Ovis aries: one gene and its partner. The protein of the gene in region 1 purifies or fractionates together with the protein of each later gene. This does not show direct contact. Links are inferred from orthologs where the notes say so. Each region holds a gene or a part of one and is shown in the gene's direction. Other genes may lie near its edges.

The links.
Region 2: the proteins of STYK1 (region 1) and HSP90AB1 purify together in Homo sapiens (affinity purification with mass spectrometry; 3 studies listed by BioGRID and IntAct, with this or other methods). This does not show direct contact. The link is inferred for Ovis aries from reciprocal best matches to the Homo sapiens genes STYK1 and HSP90AB1.

Annotation. Positions count from the first base shown.
Region 1 is NC_056056.1:204,601,610-204,607,449, forward strand, and holds the start of STYK1 (tyrosine-protein kinase STYK1), read left to right. Parts: upstream 1-2,149; 5' UTR 2,150-2,254; intron 2,255-5,840. UniProt on the Homo sapiens protein: Probable tyrosine protein-kinase, which has strong transforming capabilities on a variety of cell lines. When overexpressed, it can also induce tumor cell invasion as well as metastasis in distant organs.
Region 2 is NC_056073.1:17,732,680-17,738,556, forward strand, and holds the start of HSP90AB1 (heat shock protein HSP 90-beta), read left to right. Parts: upstream 1-1,951; 5' UTR 1,952-2,051; intron 2,052-3,392; coding exon 3,393-3,539; intron 3,540-3,851; coding exon 3,852-4,058; intron 4,059-4,152; coding exon 4,153-4,312; intron 4,313-4,459; coding exon 4,460-4,593; intron 4,594-4,710; coding exon 4,711-5,019; intron 5,020-5,370; coding exon 5,371-5,536; intron 5,537-5,747; coding exon 5,748-5,877. UniProt on the Homo sapiens protein: Molecular chaperone that promotes the maturation, structural maintenance and proper regulation of specific target proteins involved for instance in cell cycle control and signal transduction. Undergoes a functional cycle linked to its ATPase activity.

The DNA of each region.
Region 1 (5,840 bases):
GTGGATTCTTTGCCAGCTGAGCCACCAGGGAAGCCCAAGAATACTGGAGTGGGTAGACCTACCCTTCTTCAGCAGATCTTGCTGACCCAGGAACTGAACTGAGGTCTCCTTCACTGCAGGAAGATTCTTTATCAGCTGAGCTACCAGGGAAGCCTGTTCAATACTTAACACTCAATAAATGCTGGCAGAGCAGAAAACGGGCATTCAATAAATGCTGATTGGGATTTCCTTGGTGGTATAGTGGATAAGAATCCGCCTGCCAATGCAGGGAACTGTTCAGTCCCTGGTCTGGGACGATCCCATGTGCCTCGGAGCAACAGAGTCAGTGGGCCACAGCTACTGAAGCCGGCATGCCTAGAGTCTGTGCTTTGCCACAGGAGAAGCCACTGCCGTGAGAAGCCCATCCACCCCAACAAAAGAGTGGCCCCGCTCACCACTAGAGAAAGTCTGCATGCAGCAACAAAGATCCAGTGCAGCCAACAATAAATAAATAAATATGGAGAGGTAGAAATAACCATCTGGTAAGGATGGATGAACTGAAGATTGCTGAATACGAGTAAGGGGCCAGAATTGTGAGACAGAGGTAATAATGGAAATTATAAGAGAATGGACACTCGGAGAGAAGAGCAAAATAAGAATGATCCAGCCACCTTACTCACATGTAAATGTGTGGAACCAGTCACACATGAATACCTCCTGCTTATATCTTTTGTTTACTGAGGATTTTCTATTTAGTATGTATGTTGGTGTTTTCATATATCTGAGCATTATTTCCAGAGTTTTCTCTATCTCCGAAAATTTAAAAATTCACCATTTATTGAATTGTTCATTAACATTAGAGTATACGTTTTTGAATGCCCCTTTGTTCAGTCTATATGTATTTACATTTTTTTCTAGGTCTTAGAGGTTATAACTTTTGTGACTATGGTGACTCCTTTACGAAAAGGAGATTTTTAAACAGAATTCTGTGTATCAGAATGGGTATTCAGCAAGATAATCAGGTGTTGCAGGAATTACAAAAATGAGTATGCCGCAGTCTCTGCTTTGAGGAGATCAGGGTCCATGGGAAAGCAGAGTAGAAGAGGCCATAATATAAAGCTCAGATTTGTTCATTTGGCTTTTATTCATCAGTTATGACGTAAAGGATGGGAAGAAAATTTGACTGAGGAGACTTCATTCTTTCATTTTTTTAAATTGAGGTAAAATTCACATAACATAAATTAACCACCAACCATTCTTAAATGTACAATTTAATGGCATGCAGTACAGTTCTTCCTATTTTAAAAGAGCTCTGAAGAGAATAAAACTGGAATTTTTAATAAAAGGGAATTTTCACCTGGACAATAGCAAAGACTCCAGAGAACTGAAGTACCCCAGTCTTCAAACGCTCGACATCCCATGGTACCCAAATTCTTTCTGTTCTAAGGATGCCCAATTTCTGCTTGGTTTGCTAACAATGCTCAGCCAGCAAGCCATCTACACACTATGTGGCCTATATTTCTTGAGTAGAACGTGTATTCGGTGCTAGTATCAAGTCTGGAGTTCTCCCAGGCGAGTATTTTCTTCAGGGTCTCCTATGATTGTAAATTCCTTGTGGGCCAGTAACCTAAGTAGGTGGCTCATCACTGTATCCCTAGAGGAGAACCCAGCACATAGATTATTTTAAAAGCATTTGTGAATGATTGACTACTTACTCCTGAGATTTTTATGTTCAATTATTCCCAATCTATTGCCTCATGGTCAGTATTAACTGGGGCGCTCAGTAAAGGCTTGGGGTTGCGATTGTCCCGGAGCCCAAGGTCAAATCCTGGCCATTTTGAGCACCGATGAAGGCAACTGTTATTGAGTTGCACAGAAGGTGGCGCTGTTGCGCCTTATCGTGACTGCATTTTCACCTGGACAAGCAGGTCTTCTATACCTGACTATCTAGCAATCGCTTGAGAAGGAAATGAATAAGTTGATCAGCAACAAGTCCAGCTTTTACAATTTCGGCAGAGGTTTCCTGCTGGTTCAGGTGTGGTGAGGCCCGGAAACCTCAGTGCCCGCAGACTTTTCCTTTTGTGGGGAGCCCGCCCAAACTCCATCCTTTGCCCGCGGCCACGCCCCATGGTGGGAAGGAGGGACTGAAAAACATTTCCTTGAGGCCGGCACAACTTGCCCTACGCAAAACGAGGTTTTTTTTCCCTCTTCCCTGGCTGAGCAAGTTTCATCTGAAATACAGAGTGACCGGAGGAGGAACCGGAGGAGGGACAAGGTAGTGGAAACGGTCTGGGGGTATGACGGGTGAGAGGAGGATAGTAGTGATGCAGTCAGGGGTGGACTTCGCTGTTTGGGGAAGAAAAAGAGGGAGGCGGCCGAAAGGGGGATGGCTGTGGGTGGCTGTTTGTATTTTTTGTGAGCAAACAGCAATCACCAGGTGAATGAATCTGTATTTCTTCGGAACAGGCATCTCGCGAGTTTTAGCGTCTGTCTTTTTTTTTTTTAAGACAGAATTTTGGCAAATTTTCAGCAATTTGGGCAAGGAGAGAGGTAGCCAGAAAGCGAAGGGATGAGGGGTCTCTGTGTATTCCTGGAGAGGAGGCCATAGCGAGAGGGGAGATAGAAAGAAAAAGTCAAGTACAGAAATTACCTGTCACAGGACAGTAAGGTCTTTCAGCCCGCCTTTGGGCTCAGCTCAGCTCCTCATCTGCTGCTACGCATAATTAAGAATGGTAATTATCTCTTGGAGTTGTTGTGATATTTAAATGAGATAATATCTGTAATCACACTTAAAAACTGTATAGTGTGATATGCTATTCTTTGTTTACTGGAATTTCGGTTTTCTTCTTGTTTTCTCTTTTTCTTTGTATTGAAGTGTAGTTGATTTTAAATACTATATTAGTATCAGATGCGCAGCATAGTGATTGATTCTTTATAGTATTATTATAGGTTTCATTCACTCCATTAAAAGTTATTACAAAATAATGGCTGTAATTCCCCGTGCCGTACAATATGCTTATCTATTTTATACTGAGTAGTTTGTGTCTCTTAATCCTCTACGCCTGTCTTGCCCTTTCTCCCTTCTCTTTCCCCTCTAGTAACTACTAGTTTGTTTTCATATCTGTGGGTCTGTTTTGTTTTGCTATATACATTCATTCGTTTTATTTTTTATATTCCACAAGTAAGTGTGAATACAGTATTTGTCTGACTTATTTCACTATGCATAATATTCTCTGGGTTCATCTGTGTTGCTGCAAATGGCAGAATTTCATTCTTTTTTATGGCTGAGAACAGTTACTCAGCTATATATATATATATATATATATATATATATATACTCATGTCATGTCTTTTTTAATCCACTTATCTGTTAATTGCCACTTGGGTTGCTTCTATTGCAATATACTTTGTATATCGTACATAATGTTGCCTTGAACACTGGGTTACATGAATCTTTTCAAATTAGTGTTTTTGTGTTTCCAGATAGACACCCAGGAGTGGAACTGCTGGGTAATATGGTGGTTCTAGGGCTTGCCAGGTGGCTCAGTGGTAAAGAATCCACCTGCAAATGGAGAGGCGGGTTGGATCCCTGGATTGGGAAGATCCCCGGGAGAAAGAAATAGAAATCCACTTCAGTGTTCTTGCCTGGGAAATCCCATGGACAGAGGAGCCTGGCGGGCTGCAGTCCATGGAGTCACAAAATAGTCAGACATGACTCAGTGACTAAACAACAAGAGGGTCCTTCTGTGTTTAGTTTTTTGAGGAACATCCATATTGTTTCCATAGCAGCTACACCAATTTTTTATTCCACCAAGAGTGTACAAGAGTTCCCTTTTTTCTACATCCTTTCCAACATTTGTTATTTACAGCCATTCTGACAGGTGTGAGGTGACAGTGATTTTGATTTGCATTTTCCTGTTGATTAGTGTTGTTGGGCATCTTTTCACGTGCCTCTTAGCAATCTGTATGTCTTTGGAAAAATGTCTATTTACATCTTCTGACCATTTTTTGATTGTGTTATTTTTAAATATTGAATTGTGTGAACTGTTTGTATATTTTGAATATTAAGCCTTTGTTAATTGTATCATTTTTAGACATTTTCTTCCATTCCATACATTGTCTTTTTGTTTTTTGGTGCTTCCTTTGCTGTGCAAAAGCCTCTAAGTTTATTCCATTTGGATTTTTTGCTTTTATTTCTTTATTTCTTTTTTTGCTTTTATTTCTTTTGTCTTAGGAGAATGATCCAAGAGAATATCGTTATAATTTGTGTCAAAGACTGTTCTACCTATGTCCTCCTTTAGAAATTTTATGATTTCAGGTCTTACATTTTGATTTATTCTTGTGTAAGGAAATGTTCTGATCTCACTGCTTTATGTCGTTATTGTTATTCAGTCACTTTATGTTGTTATTCAGTGTCTGATTCTTTGTGACCCCCATGGACTGCAGCAGGCCAGGCCTCCTTGTCCCTCACTATCTCCCAAAGTTTGCCCAAGTTCATGTCCACTGAGTCAACAATACCATACTATTTTGATTACTATAGATTTGTTGTCTAGTCTAAAGTCAGGGAGAGTGATTCCTCCAGGTCTGTTCTTCTTTCTCAAGATCGGTTATTTGGGCTCTTTTGTGTTTCTATAACAATTTCTTAACTATTTGTTCTACTTCCATGAAAAATGGTTTGATGGCATCACCGATCAATGGACATGAACCTGGGCAAACTCCAGGAGATGGTGAAGGACGAGGAGGCCTGGTGTGTTGCAGTCCATGGGGTCACAAAAAGTTGGACATGACTTGGGGAACAACAGCTGTAAAAAATGCCATTGATATTTTGGCAGAGATTGCATTGAATCTGTAAATTGCCTTGGTTAGCATGGTAGTTTTAACATTATAGATTCTTCCAGTTCAGGCACACGATATAGCTTTTCATCTGTTTGTGTTATCTTCAGTTTCCTTCATCAGCATCTTATAGTTTTTGGAGTATATTTCTTTTGTCTCCTTAGACAGATTTATTCCTAAGTGTTTTTTTCTTTTTGAAATGATTATAAATGAGTTTTGATCCCCTTCCCTCTCTCTTCTCTCTCTGGAAGCCCTTTAATACAAATATTGGTGCACTTAATCTTATCCAAGAGATCTCTTAGGTTGATTTTAGTTTTTAAAATTTGCTTCTCGTTTTGCTTTTATGATCAAGTGATTTCCATTACCCTGTCTTACAGATCTCTTATGCATTCTTCTGTATCACTTAATCTGCTATTTATTCTTTCTACTGTGCTTTTTGTTATTGAATTCTCCATTTTTTAGAGTTTTAAAAAATATTTTCTAGTTAAAATTCTCACTGTGTTCATTTATTCTCTTCCCTAATTTAGTTAACATTCTTATTACTAAGGCTTTGAATTCTTTCTCTGGTAATTGTTTATTTCTGTTTTATTATATTTTTTTCAGGATGTTTTTCTTGCTGTTTCAGTTGACAGCAGTTCCTTTGCCTTTTTTTTTTTTTGGTTTAACTTTCTCTGACCTAAATTCAGGTGAAATAGTTACCTCTTACAGTCTTAAAGGGGTGTTCTTGTGTGGGAGCATCTCTGTGTAGACTGTGTGTGCCCTGTACCTTTGGTGGGAGAGCTGGATTTAATGTGGATGTAATCACATCTTTCCTCAGGGTGTGCTGGAAGCTGCCATCCTGATAGGAGTTCAGGCTGGACACGTAGGGGCAAGAGCTCAAGCTGGTGTGAGCGGGGACTTCCCCTCTTCCCAGTGGCCATGACTGTTCTGTTGTGGATAAGGGCTAATTTCAAGTTGCTGAAGCAGAATTCCTGAGGGCTGGGCCAAGCTGGCTTGGTTTCCTTGTTTTTATTTTTTAAAGGTTATTT
Region 2 (5,877 bases), on another chromosome or scaffold:
TCTTGTGAACCAGGGAGCAGATGTTTAATTAACCCCTTCTGTGCATAGGAAGGGCAGGTGCACTGGTGGGGGTGATGCTCCTGGTTTGAGGTTTCCATCACGAACAGAGCAGCCGGGAGCCCCTCCTAGCAGCAGCGCCCACGCCCCTTCCCACACTCACTGACTTCTCCCAGCCACAGGCTTCTCCCAGACCATAATGAAGAGAAGTAGAAGCCTATGGAGAGATGAAATTGAGGTAATGGGGGCGGAGCTGTTGAGGTCTGGAGTTCGGGCCAAGGAGAAGGGAAGGAAGGGTCCTTTGTTCCCTGGAACTCAACACATGAACAAAGAAAATGTGAAAGGAGGAGACTGGGCACCGAGGCTGCTGAGGGAGGTCCGCGGGTGGGTGGTGGGGGAACCTCTCCCCAGGATGCCAGGGACCGACAAAGCAGGCCACGAAGGGAGTTGCTGGACATCCACAAGGTCACAGCGTAGGGAGGGGCCATTCTCTCCTGGAGGGTATCTGCGTTAAAGGAGGCTTCAGAAATAAGGCCTTGGAAAAGTAAGGCCAGCTCACCAGCTGGAGAGCACGCAAACGTGGCAGAGACAGCAGAGAAGGGCGTCCCTCTGGCACTCCCTAGGCAGGTCCATGGCCTTGAGGCTCCTGGGCCACAGCCGAAGGGGAACGACTTGCTTCTGGCACCTGGATGGGGCCACACTCTGACCAGCGTCCTCATGCTGCCTCCAAGAACTCCTGCCACCCTGCAGGAGTCCTGGGAGACCGGACTCTTCCCAGATCTAGGCAGCTGCAGGAGGAGGGAAGAGGGTGGGGAAAAAAAAGAAAAAGGAAGCCAGACTGAGAAACAACTCGATATTCAAGTCTCTGCGCTCCCTCACCTGTGGGCGGCTGGGGGTTGGGGGTGGGAGCGGTCCGTCGGGTAAGCGACCGCATCCCCAGTGTCTGCTCTCGGAAGGCGGCACCCTCAGAGCCGCCCCACCGGCCGGTGTGCTGTGTGATCGATGGGGGGAGAAGTGGGGTCATCCCCGCTCCACCCCACCCGGACGCAGTGCCCGGCTAGCTGGGTCTGGCGGGTAGGGTAATGGATCCCCTCTGCAGTTTCCTGGAGGAAATGTAATGAAGGTATAGCCTACTTGGACACCAGGATCCCAGCAGTGCGGTTGAGGGGCGGAGCCACCGCGGAGGCACAGCCCAGGCCGCAGAGGGCGGGGCGGGGCCTCAAGGGAAGGGGCGGGGCAGGGCCGCCCCGGCCGGTCTGGAAGCTGCTGGAAGTGTCGCAGCGCCGCCGCCCTGGATCCTTCCGCCGCGTGTGCAGTCAAAGAGTCCCCTGGCCGGCTGGAGCCAGCGCCCGGCCCGCAGCCGGAGCCACGCCTCGCCGCGAAACGCCGGCCCGCCGCGGGAGGGCCTGTATTCCAGGCATGCCCACAAAGTGGGACCTTTAATTCCGCAACGCCCGCGGAAAAGAACCCTTTCCCGTATCAGGCAATTAGAGTATGTGTAGGGCAGCTTCTAATGAGGAGGTCGAGCCTCGGAGCGTAGGGGGGAGTGGGTGACCCCTGTTTAGGCTTGGACCTTAGTCCCGAGGCTGGGACTGTCAGGAGTGGAGATGCCTGCCCTGCAGGTTTTCACAGAGGTCAGTGGGGAATCCTCGCTTCTAGTTCCACCGTTTATGTTATATGATTACTCCCAACATATGTTTCTGATGGTGTCCTGTTTTAGGAACGCGGAGACGGGGCTGTGAACAGGAGTAAATAAGTGTACTTGATCTCAAGGCCGGCGGCTCCCGCCTTTCAAGGTCCCCTCCCCTATTTTGGACCGTGACGTCAAGGTGGGCGGGCGGGCGGCGGCAGGTGCGCGGCAGACAGGCATCCTCCTTTAAGGCGGAGGGATCCGGGGGCGGGCAGCTGGGCGGTGCTTCGCCTTATATAAAGTGATTGGGGGCACACAGCCGTTCTCTCGAGTCACCCCCGCGCAGCCTTCTTGTGGCGAGTGAGCCCGAGGAAGCCATTGCCTGCTCGGTGTTCTCTAATACCTGTGATTGTTATCCTTGAAGGTAAGGCTCCTGTCTCATCTGGGCTTTTCAGATTAGCTTGTTCTTTCGCGTTGCTTTCGGCCCACGCATCCTTTCCGAGACCTACATCTCGTGTTGGGACCGGTTCTGGCGTAACGCTCCCATTGCTTCTCTTGGGGGAGGGCTGGGAGCGAGCTTTTGAGTTTAGACTCTATGTGATTGGCGGCGGGGCTGCTTTCCCGCAGCTATAAAGCGTTGTTTCGTGGGGCCGCAGAATGGGGCGGGGGGGTAGGCACTGCACGTGGTGGCCGCGCCGGCCCGGGACGCTGCCATGTTTGCCTCTCCACTTCCGGACGCGGCTACGGGGCGCCGGAGGGTCCCCGAGCCGGGCGGGTGGGCGCGCCCTCTGTGACTCAGCAAGGCTGGTCATGACCAGGTTTTGCCACTTGTTCTATCGGACACAATTTTTTTAAAGTCCTTTCTTTCGGGGCTTTTCCGTGAGGCTCTGCGAAGAGCTCCGTTTTCGGTCGCCGGCGGCGTATGTCGTGCTTCCTCCATCCTTCCAGATCTTTCCTGCGTCTCGGTGGAGGAGGGGCTGGCGAGCGGAGGGGGCAGGCTTTGGGATTCGTGGGCACGTCCCTTCCCCCGCCCCTCTCCGAGAACTGAGATTGTTCTGGAAGCTTCTGGAGCCCGGCGCCCCGCCCTGGTGCCCGGATGTTGGGGCGAAGGGAGGCTGCGCGGTGGCGCCCCCTCCTCGCGTGGTCGACGCATGTCCAGCCGTGACGAGAGTCGGCCCCGCAGACTAAGGCCACCATCTTAGTGTTTGGTTTGGGCTTGAGCTTCAGTCACGTGTGCAGAGAGGTCACGATGGAGCCCTTTCTTTATCGGTTCTTTGTCTTGATAGCCCACCTGGATGGGCATTCCGCCAATCTCGAGTTAGCTGTCCCTACTACGGGAGGCAGCAGTACCACATTATCTCCTTGGAGTTACCTAATGGGAGGACAGTTTTAAATGATTGCCCTTTAATGTGAAACTAATTACTTTGAAGGTGGAACGATAGTAATTTGCGTATTTAAATATATGGGAATTTACCTCGCTTTCGAGATACCTGGGTTGGAGTGCCTAACTAGATTGTGCTGATCTATGATTCACTTAACAGGAGTTTGGGTTCACAATAACTTGCAAGAAACATTAGCGCAATTTGTTCAGTGTGTTAGGTGCGCCCCTCCCCCCGTTGTTTCTAAGGGTGCTGCCTGAAATTGATAGAGGGAAGGATTTTCCAGTCTTTGTACCCAGCTCAAAACAGTTTGAATAGAGTCTCCTTAAGTGTATTGTGGCTGAGGGTGAACTTGAGGAGTCTTAAATTCTTGCTTTTTATTTTAGATGCCTGAGGAAGTGCACCATGGAGAGGAGGAGGTGGAGACATTTGCCTTCCAGGCAGAAATTGCCCAACTCATGTCTCTTATTATCAACACCTTCTATTCCAACAAGGAAATTTTTCTTCGGGAGTTGATCAGTAATGCTTCTGATGTGAGTGCCCTGAATGTCTTCATTGACGTTGGTTTTTTGTTTCTCAAGTACTCCAAGAGAGGGAAAGTGGGGGTGGTTTGGCATTTTGTGGTGTTAACTGATAAAGGGGGGATATAAACTTAACTGCTGTTCCAAAAAGTATTGCCTTGCTCTCTGTGGATAGATGGGATACTGTAACCCACTGGATGTCGTTCTCAACCTACAAGCTAAAGGAGTAATCAGAATTAGCGTATTTGGGGAGTTTAAAAAACTTTTTGGGTGAGATGGGTTTTGAGGAAGCAGAATTGTAAAACTGCAATTTTGTACTTTCAGGCCTTGGACAAGATTCGCTATGAAAGCCTGACAGACCCTTCTAAATTGGACAGTGGTAAAGAGCTGAAAATTGACATCATCCCGAATCCCCAGGAGCGTACTCTGACTCTGGTAGACACGGGCATTGGCATGACCAAAGCTGATCTTGTAAATAATTTGGGAACCATTGCCAAGTCTGGCACTAAAGCATTTATGGAGGCTCTTCAGGTACGTGGTTGGTTAGGCACACTCCATTTATATTATTGGTGTTTGCTTTGCCATTTCTTTGAAACTTGAGTTTGACTTTTAAACTTTTTGGCAGGCTGGTGCAGACATCTCCATGATTGGGCAGTTTGGTGTGGGCTTCTACTCTGCCTACCTAGTGGCAGAGAAAGTGGTGGTGATCACAAAGCATAATGATGATGAACAGTATGCTTGGGAGTCTTCTGCCGGGGGTTCCTTCACTGTCCGGGCTGACCATGGTAAGTTGGCTTTCCTGTTAAGGTGTCTGGATTAGCATTCTGGGGAAACACTAATGAAGATCTTGAGTATTGTATGTGTAAAGCAGTTATAGTTCTGCGTTTGTTTATTTAGTTTCTTATATTCTGTTCTGATTAATTTTTTTCTAGGTGAGCCTATTGGCCGTGGTACCAAAGTGATTCTCCACCTGAAGGAAGACCAGACAGAATACTTGGAAGAGAGGCGGGTCAAAGAAGTGGTGAAGAAGCACTCTCAGTTCATAGGCTATCCCATCACACTTTATGTGAGTATGGACTGGTAACTCAAGTGCAGGTAACTGCTGCTTGAGAGAATTGCATGGACTTTGGGGTTTTTTTTTTGCTTTTTTGTACTCTGAAACTGTCATCTTTGATACTTCTAGCTGGAGAAAGAACGTGAGAAGGAAATCAGTGATGATGAGGCTGAAGAAGAGAAAGGTGAGAAAGAAGAGGAAGATAAAGATGATGAAGAGAAGCCTAAGATTGAAGATGTGGGCTCAGACGAGGAGGATGATAGTGGCAAGGATAAGAAAAAGAAGACAAAGAAGATAAAGGAGAAGTACATTGATCAGGAAGAACTGAACAAAACCAAGCCCATTTGGACCAGGAACCCTGATGACATCACCCAGGAGGAATATGGAGAGTTCTACAAGAGTCTTACCAATGACTGGGAAGATCACTTGGCAGTGAAGGTAAGAAGTCTTGCTTGTTGGCTCAGTAGGAGGAGCTGATATGGACAAATGGAACTTACCCAACTGGTTGGTAGCTGGGAACTGTGAATGCTATGAGTTGATTTGCTAATGGACCCTTCCAGGGTGGAGAAGTGACATCTTCCCCTGTGACCTGTCTCTGGTGGCTTTACCCACCTGGAGTCTTTGACCCAAAGATGATATAGTGCTTGCAGTTGGATTCATTTAGGGCATTAGGGCTTAAATTTTCTCTACAGGGATAGGAAGTTTTTGTTTCAAATAATTGGACATTTTGGTATTGGGACCAAAAGCCACTCTTGAGTACACAGTCAGCTTATCTTGGATTTCTTTCAGCACTTCTCTGTAGAAGGTCAGCTGGAATTCAGAGCACTGCTGTTCATCCCCCGTCGGGCTCCTTTTGACCTCTTCGAGAACAAAAAGAAAAAGAACAATATCAAACTGTATGTCCGCCGTGTGTTCATCATGGACAGCTGTGATGAGTTGATTCCGGAATATCTCAGTGAGTATCTTTTTGCCCTAATGTAGTTCGTTTCTGCGTTCTCGGGGGCTGGAGTCTTTATCTTAGATTAAGGATCCTCTGCAACCTAACAAGTGAAAGTTTGGTGAGAAAATCAGTCTTTCTGTTGAATCCAGATGACTTTATATACCTTTTATCTTTATCCCCGCCACTCCTGTATCTTTAAAACCCAGCTTCCATATTTTGATTTCAGACTTCATCCGTGGGGTGGTTGACTCTGAAGACCTTCCCCTGAACATCTCCCGAGAAATGCTCCAGCAGAGCAAAATCTTGAAGGTTATTCGTAAGAACATTGTTAAGAAGTGCCTTGAGCTCTTCTCTGA